Oryzias latipes: one gene and its partners. The main gene of each other region encodes a partner of the protein of the gene in region 3 in a complex. Links are inferred from orthologs where the notes say so. Each region holds a gene or a part of one and is shown on either strand. Other genes may lie near its edges.

Evidence for each region.
Region 1: nup188 (region 3) and cetn3 share a complex: the UniProt entries of both Homo sapiens proteins name them as parts of the nuclear pore complex. The link is inferred for Oryzias latipes from reciprocal best matches to the Homo sapiens genes NUP188 and CETN3.
Region 2: nup188 (region 3) and nup214 share a complex: the UniProt entries of both Homo sapiens proteins name them as parts of the nuclear pore complex. The link is inferred for Oryzias latipes from reciprocal best matches to the Homo sapiens genes NUP188 and NUP214.
Region 4: nup188 (region 3) and RANBP2-like and GRIP domain-containing protein 8 share a complex: the UniProt entries of both Homo sapiens proteins name them as parts of the nuclear pore complex. The link is inferred for Oryzias latipes from reciprocal best matches to the Homo sapiens genes NUP188 and RANBP2.
Region 5: nup188 (region 3) and nup93 share a complex: the UniProt entries of both Homo sapiens proteins name them as parts of the nuclear pore complex. The link is inferred for Oryzias latipes from reciprocal best matches to the Homo sapiens genes NUP188 and NUP93.

What each region holds. Positions count from the first base shown.
Region 1 is NC_019870.2:1,965,896-1,970,482, reverse strand, and holds cetn3 (centrin-3), read right to left. Parts: upstream 3,164-4,587; 5' UTR 3,015-3,163; coding exon 2,998-3,014; intron 2,298-2,997; coding exon 2,165-2,297; intron 2,094-2,164; coding exon 1,979-2,093; intron 1,909-1,978; coding exon 1,717-1,908; intron 599-1,716; coding exon 555-598; 3' UTR 321-554; downstream 1-320. UniProt on the Homo sapiens protein: Plays a fundamental role in microtubule-organizing center structure and function. As a component of the TREX-2 complex, involved in the export of mRNAs to the cytoplasm through the nuclear pores.
Region 2 is NC_019870.2:10,680,319-10,684,284, forward strand, and holds part of nup214 (nuclear pore complex protein Nup214), read right to left. Parts: intron 3,669-3,966; coding exon 3,601-3,668; intron 3,517-3,600; coding exon 3,339-3,516; intron 2,588-3,338; coding exon 2,435-2,587; intron 734-2,434; coding exon 559-733; intron 1-558. UniProt on the Homo sapiens protein: Part of the nuclear pore complex. Has a critical role in nucleocytoplasmic transport.
Region 3 is NC_019870.2:8,149,382-8,153,347, forward strand, and holds part of nup188 (nucleoporin NUP188 homolog), read left to right. Parts: coding exon 1-178; intron 179-784; coding exon 785-877; intron 878-952; coding exon 953-1,105; intron 1,106-2,052; coding exon 2,053-2,190; intron 2,191-2,273; coding exon 2,274-2,348; intron 2,349-2,478; coding exon 2,479-2,688; intron 2,689-3,170; coding exon 3,171-3,302; intron 3,303-3,374; coding exon 3,375-3,448; intron 3,449-3,520; coding exon 3,521-3,650; intron 3,651-3,856; exon of another isoform or gene 3,857-3,966. UniProt on the Homo sapiens protein: Component of the nuclear pore complex (NPC), a complex required for the trafficking across the nuclear envelope. Required for proper protein transport into the nucleus.
Region 4 is NC_019879.2:17,108,901-17,112,866, forward strand, and holds part of RANBP2-like and GRIP domain-containing protein 8, read right to left. Parts: coding exon 2,161-3,966; intron 1,818-2,160; coding exon 1,737-1,817; intron 1-1,736. UniProt on the Homo sapiens protein: E3 SUMO-protein ligase which facilitates SUMO1 and SUMO2 conjugation by UBE2I. Involved in transport factor (Ran-GTP, karyopherin)-mediated protein import via the F-G repeat-containing domain which acts as a docking site for substrates.
Region 5 is NC_019864.2:28,045,865-28,049,830, forward strand, and holds part of nup93 (nuclear pore complex protein Nup93), read left to right. Parts: intron 1-3,160; coding exon 3,161-3,352; intron 3,353-3,433; coding exon 3,434-3,560; intron 3,561-3,646; coding exon 3,647-3,719; intron 3,720-3,966. UniProt on the Homo sapiens protein: Plays a role in the nuclear pore complex (NPC) assembly and/or maintenance. May anchor nucleoporins, but not NUP153 and TPR, to the NPC. During renal development, regulates podocyte migration and proliferation through SMAD4 signaling.

The DNA of each region.
Region 1 (4,587 bases), about 6.2 Mb from region 3:
ATGTTCAAATCAAAGAAATGATCAAAAACATCACAAGCTCAGTGTGTCCACCATCAGGACAGATGGCTAGTTAACCAGTTAACTAGTTTTCCCTTTCATTACTAACTAGTAGAATCCAAAGAGAGGGAGTGGAGAAGTGGCTCGAGGATTGCTTTTCTGCTCATGCTAACGTTCAGTTTGTTGTTGAAATGTCTCCATCTAGTGGACACTGAGGGTAAAACAGCTGCAGCGTCACAGAGCGGCTGAGCTCCAGAGGAGCCACACTGAGGGTTTGTCGGGTTCTGAACCCGCGGCGGAAATTCTGAACTATTAGGAAGAACTTTGTTGGGGAAAACACTCTTTATTTTATGAAAAATAAATAAAACACTCACACAAACAGTTCAAAAGTCAAGATCGACTTAAATCTTGATCTTTACAGAAAGTCAGTCCAGTTTTTACTGTTGGAAAGTCTTCTCATGTCCAGCGGGATTCAGACTCACGGGCTCTGAGGGGGCGTCCACTGGCTCTGTGGAGAAACGTCTGGGTCCAGCTCAGAAGGCGTTCCGGGCTCCTCCTCAGGAGTCTGCGGTCATGATGGCGAGGAACTCCTCCTGGTTTACTGAGGAAACACCGGTCTGCTCAGACTCTCAAGGCCTGTTCACACCGGGACGAATTTCGTCGGCGAAACGCCTCGTGACTAAACAAAGGGCACCAACGAGAGTGTGCACACCGACGCGAAAAAACGCCATGCGTTAAAGCGTCAAAAAAAAAAAACGCCTCGGGTTCGTTTTTTTTTTTTCGACGCGTCGCATCGAAATCTATTCGACCAATGAGAATGGCGCTTTTGCTCACGTGTCTGGAGCTTCTGAAGTTACAGTAAAACACAACTTGGGGGCGCTCAAACACAAAACTGCCTTGCTGAGCACACATACCAGCGAAGAAGATAGACGCCAAGTAGCGTCTACACAGCCGCGAAGCAATAATGACGGACATTCTAAAATATCCCCGAACCAAGCACCAGTTGGAGCTACTGATGCTTGAAATATTAATGTTTTCTTTGTTTGATTCTGACAAGCGTGTAAATACTTGCTCTCTTCTTCTGAGTGAAAAGCGACTTTAAGAAGCGTAAAGTTGCGCAGCGCCACCTTGTGTACAGGAGTATTTCTGTTTACATTAAGCGCCATCTAATGTCAGGGAATGAAATTGCATGTTCGCTCGGCTCATCGTCAGCGAAAATCGCCTGGGTGTGAACACAAAAAACGTGGAGAAAAACGCTGGCGAATAACGCCTGGCGAATATTCGTCCCGGTGTGTACGGGCCTTCGGGTCGCTAAAACTCTGGAACAGGTCAGCTGAGGAAACCGTGAGGGGAGGAGCCGCGCTCTCCGCCCAATCACCGGCGACCTCGGAGCGGGAACGCCAGAACCTTCCTGCCATGGAGGTCAGAGAGCGATGGGATTTCTAAAGCAGGAGCCGCACCGGGAGAAGAGCGGTCCACCTACGATCAGGAGGTCGCAGGTTTATGCGTTGAAGTGACCTTGAGCGAGAGACTGAACCCCCACCTTGCCCCTCTGTTGTCATGGCAGCTCTGCCGCCTTCAGAGTGACCTTAAAACGCGTTAGACCTGCATAAGAGCTACATAAGTACAGGCTGTTGACCCTCATCTCCGCGGCAACGACAGAACACGTGTCATCCGGTGAAGGGGGCGTGGCTTTAACCTGAGCGAATGCAGACTTACTCTCTCCGTCTCTGTCGGTGTCGAACTCGTCGATCATGCTGCGCAGCTCTTCGTCGTTGATGTCCTCGCCGAGCTCTCGGGCGACCCTCCTCAGGTTCCTCAGGCTGATCCTCCCGGACTCGTCGTCGTCGAACAGCTTGAAGGCCTTCAGGACCTCCTCCTTCGGGTCCCGCTCCAGGATGCGGTCCGTCACTGCGGGCAGACGCGTTTCAGGGCGGCTCCTCGTCGCCTGGCTCTGAGGAAGAGGAGGCCAGTGACTCACCTACTTCACTGAAGTCCTCAAAGGTGATCTTCCTGTTCCCGTCTCTGTCGTAGTCCTTCAGGATCTTCAGGACGTCCATCTTCTTCACTTCAAAGCCCAGGGCGCGCATCGCCACCTGGTGGGACCGTGACAGATGACACCTTTGGTCTCGTTTCCACGGTTTCCATCCGATCCGCCGCCGCTCACCTTCAGCTCGTGATAATCGATCTGTCGGTCCTTGTCCGTGTCAAACAGGTCGAAGGCCTCCTTGACCTCGTGCTTCTGCTCCTCGGTGAGCTCCCTCCTCTTATTAGGCTTGTTTTTGTCGGCCTGGTCGGTTCTGCGGAGCAAAACCAGAGTCACAGATTCTCCCTGTGACCACAAACCAGAGCTTGAACCTCGCCGTTCAACCGTGAAGGATGGACGAAGACAAAAAAACAAGAGTTTGAACATCTTCATCAGTCAGGAACAGACATGAAGGCAGGAGAAGACTGACGGCAAACTCTGAGCCGAGAGAGAAACCTGCTTCAACCAACTCAGAGATCTCCGATCAGATTTGAGCCAATAAGAACCCAGACCCATTTAGTCTTATCGTAGTATTTGACCACAAACCACAGAATCCTATTTCTGATATTTTTCTGTCACATTGACGTCACAACAGGTTTATTTGGAGAACCTTTGACCAAATATGGTGGAAAAACAAACGTTATTTCAAAATAAAAGAACTCATTCCCCGAAACGAGCTTTTGGTCCCGGAAAGTCCAAATCAGGTGAAATATTATCTACCGAGGACAGAACCTGAGAGGTCACAGAATTTCGGTGCAACGTCTTCAGCCAAGCTCAGATTGATTCAGAGACAGCTCCACCGAACCGAACCCTTTGACAGACACACATTTGGACCGTTTGGACCGACGCAGCCCTTTGACCGAGTCTCCGGTCAACAAGCTCTGAATGTTTGAGGCAAACGGGCGACATGCTAACGTCGGCTAACAAGGCGAGAGAACCGGAAATGACGTCACCGTAAAAGCTGCGATCCTCACCTCAGAGACAGACTCATTGCGATCGAATTGCAGATCCAAACGCGAAGATTTCACTTCCAAGGAACGGCTACTGTCGCTCAACGAGCAAAAACAAACCCCGCGTGTCCGCGCTCAGATCCGAGGTCCTCATTGGTCGGTGGTCTCTAGGCAACAGCAAGGCGCTCGCTTAGTGGCGCTCTGTTTTTTTTTCTTCGGGAGCAAACTGAACCCAAGCGGGACACCAGCGCCCCCTGCTGTCGTCTGTCATTGCTACATCTGCTAATACTGACGCTGGAATCCTTTTCAAAGTCAAATAAAATGTAGAAAAACTTTAAATAGAAAATCAGTTTGTGATTCACAAAAGAATAATCCAGATAACTTTAAGACACATTCCGGCCATCTTTTGATCTATTTCCCTTCCTGTGGACAGTTTTACAGGACAGTTTCTGCAGATCCACAGGAGTTCATCAGAGGTTCTCCTCTGAGTTGTGGCCATTGGCACACAGTAAGCCTGTCTAATTTCCCATGATTCCTTTGTTTACACTCTTTCCTGCTATCTAACAGCCCCCCCCCCAACCCCCCCAACATTACTGGTGCAACAAAAATGGCAGCCTCATCAGATCCGTCCATTCGTCCAGTTCAGACTCCAGCTCAGACCAGGAAAACAGAGATGTTTATGGATCTATTTGTCTGACAGTGAATGCATCGGAATGGAGCGCAGCACGGAGCTTGTGGCACCGCCCAGCACATTTTTTTCTTTTTTAAACTGCATTTTTTTAGTCTGCTCCTGATTCACAACAAATGAAAATTTGCGCTTAATTTTCTTCATACATGGTCCTCCATCATCAAGAACATGTTAAAAACACCTAAATATTAGACTTTGTCCTCCAACAGTTCAGCACACCCTTTATTTGTTGTAACTTGTTACTCTGAACTGATGACAAGTTTTCCTCATAAACATTGGTCAACGGTCCTGTTATGTCTGATGTCTGTCTGTCAACATTAAAGGCATGTAACCCATAATGGTCCTGGCTTGTTGAACAGTCGTCCTTCTCTCTGGAATCCTGCCGGAGGTTTCTACCCTCTGGAAATGCTTGGAGCATTTCCCGAGGGTCTTTGTGCCCCCACCCCTGATTTGGGCTTTGTCTCAGTTTTATCAGGGATTTCCCATGGTGCTCCGGGATGAAGGTGCCGCCCGGTCTCGGCTCACGTCGGGGCGTTTCCTGTGTCACATGTGTCATCCTAGATAACGCCTGAGTGAAAAACCATGTCGCCTCAGGAGAGATTCAAGCTCAGCAGAGTCTAAGTCAGAAAAAAATACAAAAAAACAGGTGGTAACAACAACAACAGGCAGTAGTTTGTGACGGAATGAAAATAACAGCATAAAAAAAACTCCTCCTGATGAATTTCCTACTGGAGCCTCTGAAGTTTCACTGCGATGATTGACTGGAGGAGGATTCTGGAGGCAGAACATTCTCCTTTCTGTTCAGCTGAAGGAGGATCTGTGTTTGATTTCCAGCCAGCCCTCCTGTTTTTACCCCCCACCCCACCCCCAACTCAGTCTGAGAATTCATGGGGGGGGGGGGGCACAGGTATTTAGCCAGCGTCATA
Region 2 (3,966 bases), about 2.5 Mb from region 3:
TGAGTATTTCTTTTTTCAAATCGTTGCGAATCAGGAGCAGACATAAAAATGCAGTCTGAAAAAGAACTTATTGGTGACGTAGAAAATATGATGGTCTAACAGTCAACGAACAGTCCCGCCTACAACTCAGAGGCGAACTTTCACAAACTCCTGTCACTCTGCAGAAACTATGTCTTAGAAAACAACACAGCTTTCGGATGTTGCCTAAAATAGCATAGCTACAATTAAAAGGACCACTGGGAACGCTTTTACAAGAAATCCAGTTTATAAAGTAGACATCTTTGCTCTATTTGCGAAAACAAACATGTTTGGATTTCCATGTTGCTTCACACTGTGAGTCAAAACCTGCTGTTCCTCACTCTGCTGCATAAACAACCGAATGACACATAGTTCCAAACCAAAACATTGACTGTAGGTGCAGAACATAAATACTACTACACTAAGCCACACAACACCAAATGTATTCATGTTGTTACAAAAGCAGCAAACTTAACAAATAAAATGGGCCACATATTGAAATCAATAACTGCTTGAAATACTTTTTTTTTTAATAATTACCCAAATCCTCCCATGCTGGCGGCTGCTGTTCCCTCGCCAAACACTTTACTGGACTGGGAAGCTAAAGGGTTGCTGAAAGACGGACTTGAACTGAATGAAGCGCCGCCACCGAATGCAGGAGAACCGCCAAAAGAAGGGGGGCTTCCGAACACGGGGGCGCTGCCAAAGCCGCTCGCTGTAGAGAGAGAGAGAAACAAGGTGAAGGCTTGAAAAGGAGGGCAGTGGACGGGTGCCGGCTTGGTCGAAAACTGCTTAGTGAGAAGCTCGGAGGGTTTTGAAGCAATTTTCAGAGCATTTCTCAGTGTGTTCGCTTAATTTTCTTGAAGAAACCAAATGTTTGTCATGTTTGGAATAAGGACACAAAAACAGAGATTAGGTTGATTAACTATCTTTCATAGCTGTACATACAATAACTAAAACTATTCTAGTAGGTAAGAAAAGCGTCAAGAGGCTTTCAACTCTTTTTGTCTGGGTTTTTTCCCCACTTCTTGGGGATTTTACACCCATGATTTTCCTGTTTTTGTAGCACAAAGTCCTTCTGAGTTGAGTAGGTTGAGTTCTATGGTGTTGCAGCACACTAGGACACGAAAACATCACAGTAATTTAAAGCCTCAGAGCAAGGCGAGCTGAAATTACAGCCAGCATGCCCCAGTAAATCATTGATTGACTTAATGTCACAAGCTTAGATTCCAACAGCACAAACCATTGAAAGGCCTTTAATAGGGACTTCAGTAAAAGAAAATGTCTCAGTGGATATGAGTGATGGTCAAGTTGAGGAAAAAAAAAAAGTCAAACATTTCATCATTATGACACCAAATAATTCATAGATTTGATGTATTTCTTGAATTTCACATTTTCAACATGAATGCAAAATCGAAATTGTAACTAAATCAGGTTATTTAGACATTATCTTTACACTGCTGAAAATTTTTTTATGAGATAAAGAGTGGGCTGTAACAAGTATCCGAATCCTCGGATACTTGTTATCCGTTCCCAAAAATCTCTTATTTGCGACACTTATGAATCAAGTACAGTGTGGTAAAAATACACTTCAAAAAATGTAACTATTGCTCTAAACTGCAGTAAATGTGCAGTGTGTGCTACGGTCAGAGGAAGTAAATCATTCTTCAAAGTAAAGTGTTGGTGACACTTCTCATTTTGAAAGTAAAGCTTTTGAGTGTTTTTTGCACTGACTTAGATCAAAAACAAGAGACTGAAATTTAGTTTACAGATAGAAATTCTGGAGGGAAAAAATAATTTGTTCGATATACCGGTATTTAAAAAATAGATTAGACTAAAAAAAATACCGAATATGAATTTAAGATCATCTAAAATAAATCGTGTGATCAATTTCCTCTAAAGATGAAAAGAGTGAGTCTGTAAAACCTGTCTGTTGTCAGTTTAGATGAAAGGACTTTGAGTGTTTTCTACTCATTACAGAGATTTTTTACTGAGGTGTTTCTGTGTCTTCATTTACTGTCTTCTTGCCATCTATCTACTATGACTGCAGTCAGCATTGCTTTGAGGATGGAAAAACTGTGAACATTTTCAGCTTTTGCTTAAACGGATCCACAACTACAGGGACACTTATGTTTTGTTCACTGCTGAAGTTAACCAGGAAGTTTTTTTAAAGTTTGACATTGTTTAAAGTGATAAATATTATTTTTTCTAATAAAAACCTTGTGTTTTTATCTGTTCTGTATAAATGATGATTATATATATATATATATTTCAATTTTCACATACATACAGCACCAATTCAGACATATTTTGACTGAAGAATCGTGTTTCACAATCTTGATTTGTGAGTCAAATTGGATCGCCACGTAATGAAGGATTCACAGCTCAAAAAAAAGGATAATAAAGCAGGACCTACTTGATTTAGATGGTGTGGAGAAGGAACCAAAGCCCTGACATGCAACACTGCCTCCACCAGTACTGAAGGTCCCACTGGGCTTCTGCTCCCCGAAGGAGGGCTGACCAAATCCAAAGGTCTTGGCGCTACTGCTCCCAAAGAGGCTGTTGGGCCCTAGAAGAGAAAGAAACAATAACATGTAAGCTTTGACAGCAGATTTATTTACAGTCCATCAGACTTTTCGGTGCAATACACAAATAATGCCTGAAGTTCAGACATTTCCTTTTACATGTTTATTTAAGAAAGGAGAGTCCAATGTGTCAAAAGGAAGTTTGTGTAGATTGCAGACAACCAAAAATACACAAAAAATGTTGCTGTCAGACAATCATCATTCTTGCAGAGTGTGGTACGTCACTTGATTGACAGGTAGAAAGAATGACAAATCAACATACGTCAATGGACATGCGAGTTCAACTACACCGAGCTCTCTGCTCGCTCATATGGAGTTTTTCTTCCTCTTTGACTTCAGAAAGTTGTGAGCGTTTAGCGTCAGGAGCATTGTAACAGTCGATGTGCCATATTTTTTCCTGACTGGCCTGAGGCCGGTCAAGAAAGCAGAACCTTAAACAAAACGTACACGGATCATTTCTGTCGTCGGCACACTGTGCGCTGTGGCGCCACTGACATGACAACACACAATTCAAAGAGCTGTCAGTTTGATGGAAGAATGATTATCACGTAAAAATCTCACATCTAAGTTTAGCAATTTGATTCTGAATAATTGTCTGATTCATTTAAAAATCTGCTTCTCAAAACAAGTCTGTATTTTAGTAAATAAATATAAAAAAATTAAATTTGGAGCTGGTTGTTTCAAAAGTAGCTCGCATCCCGGCAAAAAATGTGGGCATCCCTACTGTAAACGTACCAGACTGCGTGCTCTGGCCAAACACGCCAGTGGAGGCGGTGGTACCAAATGGGTTCTTGTTGGCAGCGTCTTCACTGGGTTTGCCTCCCAACCCGCTGAAGAATCCGCCAGAGGACGAGGTTGCAGCGCCGGTCGAACTTTGACCGAACAAACCTCCACCAGTTGAAGGTTGCTGTTGCTGGTGGCAATTAACCAGCAAAGACGTGTATTCATGAAAATTGGTTCAAAAGGCATTGAATCATTGTGAATTCGAGGACCATACCTGTCCAAATATGCTCCCAGTGGTGGATTGTTGGCCAAACACAGGTGTGGCCGCCGAACAGCCAAAACCTTTAGTAGAAAACAAAACAAAACAAAAGAATGTAGGACAGAAAAAGTCATGTTCCACACTCTGCATCAGCAGAAAAACTTTCACAATATCTTGAAGTCCACCATGTGTGTCTAAACAGGAAGCAGGAATGACAAGCTGTGTCTAACTGTAGCATCAGCTGTCCACATGGACGCGGCGGTTCTCAGAATGTGCTCGGAATTCAAAAAATGTCTGGGAACGAGACAACACCCTTCGACCTACTTAAGCTAACGGGGCATTATTTTTATAAAACAGGTGTCGTGCAAGATAATACCGCTG
Region 3 (3,966 bases):
GGCAAAGGAGCTGTGCCGCACAGATGAGGATGGTGAGCACTGGGTCTCGGTAATGAGGAAGGTGCCGGTCCTGCCCTCAGTTATGAGCGCCATGGAGCTCAGCCTGCGCTCCAAACACAACCTGTACTTCACCGAAGCTGCTCTGCATCTGCTGCTTACACTGGCTCGCACTCCTCAGGTAAGAAAAAACGCACACAGAGTACAAGTCGCTGTGACTTTGAGTTGTTTTCTGTTTTTGTGATCATTTTTAACCTGCACTATTTGTAATCCACCATCTGTCACCACTAGATGTCTCTGTTCCCTATTATCCTGACAGTTTTTTTGAGAAACTGTCAATCTTCATCTTTAGTTTTCTCTTTTTTGCTGTTGCTCTTGTGTTTTGTCCTCTTTGCTGATTTGTTAGCATTTTTTTCTTCCGCTGTGTTGAAACTTCCTGTTTTGCACCTGCAATTTAAATTCTGCTCATGACATTTCCTTTGTCTATTACGTCTAAAATGTTTTTGGTGGAGATGGAGACGTGAAAAACCCAAACTGTGTTTCAGTCTGTGTTTAATGTGAAAGAATCTCCGGAGGACTAACAACAGCAGCCGCAGTTCATCACTACAGCAGTTACACAACAGACTGTAAATCTTCTTAAATGATCAGAGCTTATTTAATTCTATCTAAATGACTGCAGGAGAAGGAAAATAAAAAGCTTTTGAGGATTTTGAATACATTTGGAATCGGAATGTCAGATTTAAGCTTTTGAAGTTCTCCTCCTTCTTTTTTTTTTGCTCTTCTTCAGGGAGCAGCGGCTGTAGCAGGAGCCGGAGTTACTGAGACCATCTGTCTTCCTCTTCTCAGTGTTTATGAAGGTCCATCAAATGGAGCCTCTCAGGTGGAATCCGTTATACATTCTTAGAGATTTTCGGGCCAAATCCAGTCGTTCTGAAAGTGTTGCTTCTGTTAGCAGAGCTTCTCCAGGAAGTCGCAGGATGTGGCCTGTTGGCCGGGCGTTTACCGCCTCTGCATGTCTTTGATGGAGAGTCTTCTCAAGACGCTGCGCTACCACTTCATTAATGAAGCCCTGGACTTTGTTGGAGTTCATCAAGAGCGCATCTTACAGGTACGATCGATCAGGACGATTCAGACCAGTGGTCCCAAACCCCCGTCCGTGGACCGGAACCGGTCTGTGGGACGGTTGGTACTGTGCCACAGAGAAAAATAACGCGACCTACAATCCCTCCTGTTTTTATTTATAATCTGACTCTGATGGAAGTTTTATTTTGGAAAACTACAGGATTCTCTCCACTATATCCGATTCATTCTTGACGAATGTCAAGTCGCTCAGTCACATGTCGAAATTCCCTCTTTCCTAAAGCGTCTGCGCCGACCGCTAAAGTGAAACCACCAAGCTAACAAAGTTGAGACAAATCGTTTTTGGAAAGTTTATTTTCGCAGGAAAGAGCCAAAAGGGAAACAGACGAAGAGCCTTTGACTTCAAAATAAAAGAAATCTACGTTAAACAGACAACCCCAGGAGTTTTTACTTGAAATGTGGATTTATTGCGACAGTTGTTTCAACACTCTATAGTAATGCTGAATATTCAGCAACCAGCTGTCTAATGTTATGAAGATGCTGCTAATAAAGATACTCAAACAGTGTAAGACAATTATTATTATATTTAGAAAACAACAGTTTTAGTTTTGTATTTATCCATTACACCTTAAAAGTCAGATTAGGCTGAGGTTGGCGTCTGATTTTATGTATTTTTTAAGCTTCTATTTCTACGCTAGATTTAATGTAGGAACTATTCAAGTTTAAAGCAGCTGCTGATATTTTACAGGGAATGAAGATAAACTTTACCTCAAAAGTTAAGTGAAACCGGAGGCTGTGAAAATTTTGTCTGACATTTAAACGGTCTGTGGCCTGAAAAAGGTTGGAGACCACTTCTCAGGTTCTCGTGTTTCAAACTTGTTCCGGCAAATCTGGATCCATGCATCCTTTTTGCTGAAGTCCTGTAGGATCCAGGGCGGTTTGGGTTTAAAGGCATGTCGGTTTCTCTTCCCTCAGTGTCTGAACTCCATGCGCACCGTTCAGAGCCTGGCCTGCTTGGACGAGGCGGATCACACGGTTGGTTTCCTCCTCCAACTGTCCAGTTTCTGTAAGGAGTGGCAGTTTCACCTCCCCAAGCTGCTCCTGGACGTGCAGGCGAGTCCACATTTCATCACACTTTCAGCAGGAGATATCATTCGGAGCTCATAAACGTTTTTTCCCCTTCTGTTTGTGTTCAGATCAACCTGTGTTACCTGTGCCAGACCTGCACATATCTGCTCCACAGCAAGAAGATGCTCCATCACTACCTGCAGGTCTGAACATCTAAGGATTGCTTAACATTTCATAAAAGATGCTTAATAAATGTCACATTTGTCGTATATCCCTACCAGAAACTTTGTGTACTTGACAGACAAAAAAAAGTCATGAGTTTGTGTTTTGTAGGCCAAGAATGGTGAGGCGTTGCCTCCTGGTCCCCTCTCCAGGACCCAGCGCCCCCCTCAGACTCAGGCAACAGCAGGGGCAGCGGGGGCAGAGGAAGCCGAGCAGAAGGCCCTGCTGACCGTGCAGTGCAGCCTTTTGAAGATCCTCAGCAAAACCCTGGCTGCTCTGCAGCACTTCACTCCCGACTGCTGCCAGATCCTCCTGGACCAGGTGAGACCGCTCAGATCCTCCGCTTTCCCCTCAGGCTCTCTACACATGTGATGCACGTTCACGATGGACTGTCATTACTTAGTACTAGCGCATAAACCTACAGTGGGAAGACGCTTGGCGTCGAAGCGGTGCAAATCTAGTGAGTCTAGCTCCAGGCTTTTTTTTTCCCTCAGCTCTATCCAGATACAGGAAAGACTTGGTGTCATAGAATTCTGGCTGGGCAAAAACTGCTATTATTAATTTCTCCTTCATGATGAATTTAAAAACGGTTGGCACTTCTGTGACTCAAAAAGGACGCCATCCATTCGTCATGACCACAAATGTCCCCGATTGGTCAAAGTTCATCAGGTTTTACGTGGAAGCCCAAATTGCGCATATATGCACATTTACACAGACCTCTCATTGAAGGCACAGTACAATGAACGTAGCTTTACATGAGCGGAATATGTGCTCGACTATTTACTAAGCCACTTCTGCATCAGTGCATGGACCTGGCCGAGTACCGGACCCTGTTTGTGCTCAGCTTCACGACTCCGGCCTTTGACCCCGATGTGGCGCCTTCATTTGGGACCCTGCTGGCTACGATCAACGTGGCGCTCAGCATGCTGAGCGAGGTACTCTTCACATTTTTGTTGCAGGTTTTAGCTGCAGGCAGTCCTTGAGCGTTTTATGTTCTGTCTGGACAGATGGAGAAGAAGAAGGAGACGGCTTCGGTCAGCATAGCATCGCTGGCTTCATCCGAAGAGCTCCAAGCTCTGAAGTGAGTCAACTCCTTTCTGTAGTCAAGCAGCATGCGGTAGTGCACCAAAAGACGCTTTCTTTCCCCCCTAAGGTCACTGCTGATGTTCACCATGGAGAACTGCTTCTACGTGCTCATCTCTCAGGCTGTCCGGTGTCTCAAAGACCCCTCCATCCTCCCGCGGGACAAACAGAGGCTCAAGCAGGAGCTCAGCTCAGAACTGGTGAGGGCTTTGAAAGTTCAAAGATGGGATTTTAAATGAGTAATATGCAGACTATAGAACAATTGGAGGATTAGTAGCACAAAAAACATTTTTCATTCTAGTTTTCTACATCGTTTAGTACAAAAAATTAGATCTTTGCAGGTACAGATGTCATCTTTTACTCAAATGTTGACTTGCTGGCAAAACATAAGAAAAAGCAGGAAATCTTTGGTCAAAATGCTTTTATTTGATGTGCTACTGTTTACCAACACAGAATGTTGAAGGGGTGCAAATCTCATGATTTGAGCATGAAACGGTTCGGTTCATTGGATCACCA
Region 4 (3,966 bases), on a different chromosome or scaffold from region 3:
CGTGCCGCTATAAAGGAACTGATTCTGCTCTCCTCATATTTCAGATGCTTGGCTTTCGCAACTTCTGCTCCACGTTTGGTCATCAAAACCTCCAAACCACTGAGCTTTACACAAGCCTAGAGTTTTAATAACAGTGATGAAAGTCAGGCAAGGAAAAAATCCCTGAACTTTTCTTTGAGCGATATGGCGGGCACAGAGCGAAATTTTGGAAAAATACGTGGTCTTAGATGCATTCTGGTGCATTCTGGCAACTAGTTATTCACTTCTTTATCAAGAAACTAAGACTAATTGGAGCATCATGATTTGTCATTCAATCCCCTAGTTTGACTCTCCATTAAGGACTTGCTGGTCCTAAAAAAGAATTTGGAAAATTGCTCAAAGTAACACAATCCTACAATCTACGCTTTTCCTTAAAGCTGCAAAACATACAATTGCTAAAATATAGTAACATCAAAGCCCCAAATGGCAAAAAGAACACCAGTAACTATGATATTCTATGAAAATACCTCAGTTATTTATACATTATTTCTGCTTTAGAAATGACTGATGTACAACATCCACTTGCACCGTTTTCTCAAACTATAATTACATCAAAATATGGGATCTGCTTTAAACTATAATTCTATAACATAATAAATCAATTCTTTAACACCAATACTAAGTAATCTGGGAAATATCAAAACAAACATACAAACTAAACTAAACATTGTAAACATTATTTTTTAAGGGAGTGCGGGTCCAAACCATCAAATACTTATAATTAATGTCAACTATACTGAACTAAATCATGGTAATTAGGAAATACAAATAAATTAGATAGAGAAATGTATTCAAAATAAAAACTGAAACTCAAAACTAAAATTGAAATTATTTCAAAATGTGGTTTTGAGATTATTTTACAATAAAGGTTTTGACCTACACTACCTTAAAAATCTTTTTTTTCCAGCCAAGACCACTTCAATTTGTTTTTTATCGTCTTCTCACAACTGAGGTCGTGACCACGCTCAATAATGACGATGCCTGCCATTTTTTTTAACACAAATTTGATCGAAAACTCTTCAGATGTGTTTGTGAAAGTTTAGCGTGGGTCCGCCAGTTTTGGTCTCTAAGGAAGCGAGTCACGCTGACCACGTGGTGCAGACAGAGCCAATCAGACCCGTCGACGCATCCGAAAGCAACTAAAACGTCCCGTCATTGGTCAATTAGGCCGGGAAGACGAGAGATGGCCACGACCATAGAGGAAGCGATCTGCGGAGAAATATAGAAAATAAAGCTAAAATTAGCTGATTTCAGACCATTTTTTAATCCGGAAAGCGATTTGTCCGTAGAGATCAGGTCTTTATTTCCCGGAAAGTACGTTCGGTTTGCTCAAAAACCCGGATTTCCGGGAATTCCCGGAAGACTTTCATCACTGTAATAATAATACCCAAATGTCAGGATTAGTTTTCCTAAACTTTGTCACAGAAGGGGAAAAAAAAAACAATAGTGACAAGGCCAAACAAAACAAAACGGCCTATAAAATATACATTTTTTTAACGAGACAAACATCTCATTAAATTAAGGTCTCCCAACAGCAAAAACTGGAAATAAACACACTGAACATGCAGGATTAGCTTGTAGCGTTTCGGCCACTTCGTGCATTTCAGGTGTTATTTTCTTTACAGTAGTCACAGTAGGAGGCAGCCAGTCGGGTGACAGCTGACAGGTGTTAACACACACTGCAGTAACCAGAGTACCTGCGGGTTCAAAACTGTCGCTGGTGGACGTGCTGGTCCAAAAAGCCATTGGGTTATCTTTGAAAAGCCTAAAATCCAGACCTGAAGGATGATGGTTGTTCAGCAAAGAGAAACCGTTTGTGACATCAGAAAACTCCAAATGTGATTTGGCTTTAAGCAGATGCTATAGCTTTGGAATTATTCATCAGAGTGTTGGATTAGTGCAGGTTATTCACGTTTACATAGTACAGCTATATTTTTGAATGTACAGTAGAGTGTTCTAGATAGTATGACCTATAGATGCATATGTAATGGTAATAAGAACTTATTTTAATGGTAGTTTGCAAAAAGAGGATGAAATCAGAGATGCAGATGGAAGGAGACAGGAATTCTGTCGGCAAAAAGCAGTTTTTTTATACCGGAGGAAAACAAACAAGCAAGTTACCTGTGTGCATCGGGAATGCAGGAGCAGGAAGAGGACTCTTCACAGAGCTTCCAGAATCTTTCGCTTTCCCTGCAGGAGCTGGAGCTTCCGGCTGGGATTTTGGTGAGCCGAATATCTTCTGGAGGGAATCGGTCCCAAAGACAAACTTTGGGGGAGACACCACAGTCTTTGAGGGGTTGATTGGACTCGGAGAGGCAGCAGGTAACGGTTTGCTGTCAGGAGGAGGTTCTGTGCGCTCCTTTGTGATCTCCTCCAGAACAGCAATAGCCGCACTGCCACACACCGGAGTGCTTGCCAATTCTGCTGCTGTGTCGTCTTTAGGCGCTGCGAGCCGAGACGCCATTGGAGTCATCAGTTCTGCTTTTGCTTGAGCGACTTTGGACTCTTCGAAGACCTGTTTGAAGGTATTTGCTGTTTCTTGGAGCTTGAACCTCACAGCCAGCTGTTCGATTTTGCCCTCCCCATCCTCAGAAAAGTCCATGGCACTCCAGACCCAGGCCTTCTCTGCTCCCTTCATGGGCTCCAGCTTCATGGTTTCTGAGATCCAGTGGTTGGCACAGAGCTTCAGCACCTGGTCTCTCCTCATGATCAGCCTCACCCGTTTGCTGTCATAATTCTGCAAGATCTTCAGGTCTCCGATCCCCCTCTCCTTCCACTGACCCACATCTTTGTCGAAGCGATACAGCTTTGCTCTGTGGCTGAAGATCGACTGCTCGTTTTCCTCTCCGGTAGAAACCTCCACCAAGTCCGGTAAAGGCACCACGGGTTCAAAGTACTGCCCGTCCCGCTCTTCATCCTGAGTGACGTCCTGCTCGTCATCAGTGCCTACTGAGGCTTGGCTCTGGTTGAGCTTAGCGGGAGATTTGGAGGGGCTGATGCCAGGCTGGAAGCTGAAGCTGAACCCACCGGTGGATTCTCCGAAGCGGAAAAGGTTTTTTCTCAGGGGGCTGCTGGCAATGGGCGAGGCATAAACAGAGGAGTCAGCTGTGTCATCCAGAGCGTCTCCTCTCAGGTCATAGTTATCCCACTCCAAGGTCGGCCCGGTGGTTTCCCCATGAGGCCTGATGACCATGCTGGAAATCTCGCCGGAAGCCGTCGTGTCTCCTTGCGTGTCTTCATCTTTGATCTTGGTTTTTTCATCCGTCAGAAATGATTTCAGGTCTTTTAAACCAGATTTCATTTCCTCTGCCTTCTGAATGAGGTGAGCCGTTCTGCCTGTGTCGACCAGCTTGTGTGGAGTTTGCAGGGGGATGTCCAGGAGGAGTCTTTGACATTCCTCAAACTTTGCCTTGAACTCCTCTGCGAGCTCTGGAGTTTTAAATTTGACAGCCAACTGCTCCAACTTGGCGTCTCCGTCAGAGAAGTCATTGGCCAACCAAATCCAGGCTTTGTCCGAACCTGCCAGGGGCTTCAGGTTCATTGTGGTCGTGATCCAGTGGTTGGCACACACCTTCAGAACTTGCTCCCTCCTCATCAATACCCTCAGGCGACCGTTGATGCTGTTTTTCAGGAATTTGAGGACCCCAACCCCTCGCTCTTTCCACTGGCTGGTGCTTGTATCAAAGCGGAACAGTTTGACCCGCTGAGAATAGAGAACCTGCTCGTCTTCCTCTCCCGTGACCACATCCACCTTGTCGGGCATTTGGACCACCGGTTCAAACTGGATGTCATCGTTTTCTTCAGTCTTATACATGCCGTCATCCTCTTGTCCGCTCACAGAGTCCATCTTGGTGGGTGTTGCCTGTGGCGTTGAGAAGACCTGCTGCCCGGCTCCAGAAAAGCCTTTAAAGTTGGGGTCCGTCTGTC
Region 5 (3,966 bases), on a different chromosome or scaffold from region 3:
CATGCATGCACTGCAAAAGGAGGGAACCTAAAAAGAGGAAAAAAACACTCGAAAGAAATCACCAGAAAGTTGTAAAATGATCTAGAAACACAGGAGTTTCACACAATCATTGAAAAAGGGAAAATTAAGCGAAGAATGCTAACTGTTAGAATGACTAAAATTAAATATTATACATCCCAATAACTATTTTTGCTAGTTTACAAGCAAATGGTTTGTATTTTTTGAGTTTTATGAACCTAATTGTTGTTCGTTTTGATTAAAGTGACAATAAATTCTAGTGTAAATAGTGAAAAATGACTCATTAAATCCTCATAGAATCTAAAACTTATTCTTAGAACATACATCTACATTTTTGTTTCCATTATAATCACAATAAATGCCAGTTCTACTTTTTAACTTTCAAATAACACTTTTTAAAACGGAGCCTAAAACGATGGTACAATTTGACTTTTTTAATCGTTAAATCCGATTTTTCGATGGAGGGTTTTGACTCATTTTAAGAATTCTAGATCCTAGCTCTTAATGAGATTTTGAAAAAAATCCACAACTGTGCTGATTTTGAGCAAAGTCTGAAAAGGTGTAGAGCAAAGACGTGTAAAAACAACTTAAAACCTGGTAAAATGTTTTAAATTTCTAATAACACGGTTTTAATTCTGTGCAAGGATCAAATCGTTTGCAGTGTTTGTTATTACAGGGCAGTTAAATATATAAAGCAATTTATTGTTGTGAAGATAAGGAACATGCAGGTGCGATCAGACAACATATTTTTTGAATAATTCATTCATTGTGGGAGCATTTAGCCTTTTTTTTCCTCTTTTTTTTGTTCTAAACTCACCAACATTGTCCCTCAAGACATATTTATCGTATTATGTGAATTTGTTCAGAAAACTTAGAAAATTTCCTCTCAGCAGAAACCAAAAGACGACAAACTATTGAAGAAATCGAGTCTTTTCATCGCATTGAAAGTTAAATTCAGATGTGGAGAGATGCGCTTTTACCCTGCAGAAAATCAAATCAGCCGTTGCTTCTCCTTCCTGTTAACTCCTGCAGCTTACAGGAGGGATAACTAAGTGATTAAATGTTGCGGCGCTGTGACTTCAGGAGACAAAGTAGGTCATGTAATCCTACCACGCCTCCTCCTGGCCGCCTCCTGCTGCGTCTCTGTCCTGTCCAAGAATTGCAGTGTCCCTGATTTGAAAGCAATGAATATTACAAGAAAGGACTGAGGGCATTTCAATTTCCGATGGAGCTCAAAGCCACGCAGGAGGTTGGAAATGGAGTTGGACCACAACACTTAAAAAGAAAAAAGGACTTAGCTCTCAGAGATCTAAAAACAGACTAATGTTTTTATCATTGAGATCTGGATTGCTCCTCTTCTTAAATTTACCCATTTAAATTGCCTCTCTTATCTGTCTGTCCTCTAACTTTTAGTCAACATTCGTTGATTATTTTATGAATACTAATCCAGCATCATTTCAAAAACGTAATTGGCTAAATTGAAAGGATGAACTTTGCCTCCTGCAGCCTGACATAAAAAATACAAACGTGCTGTTTTCTCCGGAGAGCTGCCCTCTCTGAGAGCTGATGCTGCCTCGCTCAGATAAGACCGCTAAGTCGCCGCTGCTGCGAAGCTCAGTCTGCTTCCTCTGCAGCTCGCTTCGACCCGCCATCCGCCGCCAACCTTCCTTCCTGTCCTGCATCTCGCTTTATACTGAGACACAAAGTCTAATTTTAATTTCTTTTGCTTAATGGCGTCACTCAGGTTCGTTAAGTGCCTTCATCCCCCACTTTCTTCTGTTCTCTCTGTATCTTTCATCCCTCCGTCTCCTCGCACAGCTGTCGCTCTTTCCTCCCACTGATTTTTGTCCTCTTAACGTTCCCTCCTCGCATGTATATTTGTTCTTTGTCATTTTCTGTTTGCACGCTCGGCTGCGCCCCCCCCCCCCTTTCCCCACGTGCACACTTGTGCGCGCACTCACTCCTATCTCGCCTCCTTCATCCTTTTTTTTTCTTTCTCCCTCCATCACTCCCTCCCACCCTCCCTCTGCTGCTCGCTCGCTCGCTTTTTTGAACTAAAACGCTGTAAGTCTGAGATAAGGCTGTAAAATGGCTGACATGGTCCACCCCGTCCGACTCCTCAAACTTTCAGCTAACAAGAGGATTAAGAATTCTAATTAAAAAGTAAACTTGATGACTAAGTACCTGCGCACACCAAAATGTTTTCCAATTTCTCACCCAAAAGCTGGTAAAAAAAAAAAAAAACCTGCAGACTGCTAAAATAAAACTGTTTAGTCGACACATTTCAGTTGAAACTGACAAACCTTTGTTTTTCTTTTGCTCAATTTCTGACAGCCAATCACGTATTTTATCATTGGTGCTAAATAAACCGTTTTTTAGAGAGAGATGGATCATTATGAAGAAAAATATCGTCTCATAATTATAAAACTTTTTCTGCTCCAATGTGCTTTTGCTATTTCTGTAAAGAACTAAATCAGGTTATTGCTGTTTAATTTGGGTTTTAGTGACAAACTTGGTTGAATTAAGGCTATTATTGTCCCCGTTAAAATGTTTTCCTTCAATTCTTATTAAGAAAATGTGAAAACAGTTTTGTTAATATGCAGGTTGTGCCGCAACAGGAGAGTCTGAATGCAACAGTAAAGAACGTATGAAAATAAACAAATCCAGTCTAATTATCCGTTTTTGACGGTGGTACACAAAGCTCTTTTTCAAACTGCAATTTTTCTTCTGCTCCTGATTTAGACCAATTTGAGTAAAGAAATACTCAGAAATGCAATTTTAAGCTTCATTTTCTTAAAATACCCCCCCATCATCAAAAAGTGCTACAAGAACGTGTTAAAAACACAATTTTACCTTGGAGAGGATCTTTAAATTCAGTCAGAATCGAATTTTTTCCTAAAAACTGCAACTGATCCTAATTCTTTATTTAGTGACACGTCAGTGCAGTTATTTTTACACAGAGATTTGGAATAAAGTTTAAAAAAGATAGAGATCTGAAGAATAAAACAAAACCGATTATCTGGATTTACCATCACTGGTTAAATAAAAGTTTATGAAAATTTGTCTGACCAAAAATCTTATCTGACGCAACATTTCTAAATAAAAATATTCTTTTCCTGGTCATCGCCCTTTTCTTCTGTAGGCGAGTCCCATTTCTCGGCGAGCCAGCAGCCCTTCCTGTACTTCCAGGTGTTGTTCCTGACCGCTCAGTTTGAGGCTGCCGTGGCGTTCTTGTTCCGTGTGGAGAGACTCCGCTGCCACGCCGTCCACGTCGCCTTGGTTCTCTACGAGCTCCGGCTGCTTCTCAAGTCGTCCGGTCAGAGTGCTCAGCTGCGTAAGTATGACCTCCATCTTTTTTTCTATTTTTTTTAACCATATTTTGAGACATTTTATTGGAGCTATGATCTGTCTGCAGTGAGTCAAGAACCCGGTGACCCGCCGATGATACGTCACCTCAACTTCATCCGTCTGCTCATGCTGTACACTCGCAAGTTTGAATCCACGGATCCACGGGAAGCTCTGCAGTACTTTTACTTCCTACGGTAAGTAATCCATCTCCCTTCCTGACCCTTAGCTGCTTTACTATACATCGACATATCCAATAGATGTCGTTTTTATCGTCCTGCAGTAATGAAAAGGACAGCCAGGGAGAAAACATGTTCATGCGGTGCGTCAGTGAACTTGTTATCGAGAGTCGAGAGGTGAGTGGACCACGGTTTCCTACCAAGGCTTGGAGAAATATGTCTGCGCCAATAAATCAGTGCTGTTTGACCCAGTCAGTAGAGCTGGATTTGATATCAAACTCCCTCCGCTGATGGAAAAAAGAGACGGTTTTAGTGTCGCCCATTGGCTATATATGAGAACTGGACAGAGTGAGTGTGATTTCACATATAGAAAATGGTTTAGGCTACGTTCACACACACGTCACACACATGTCGCGCGTTCTTG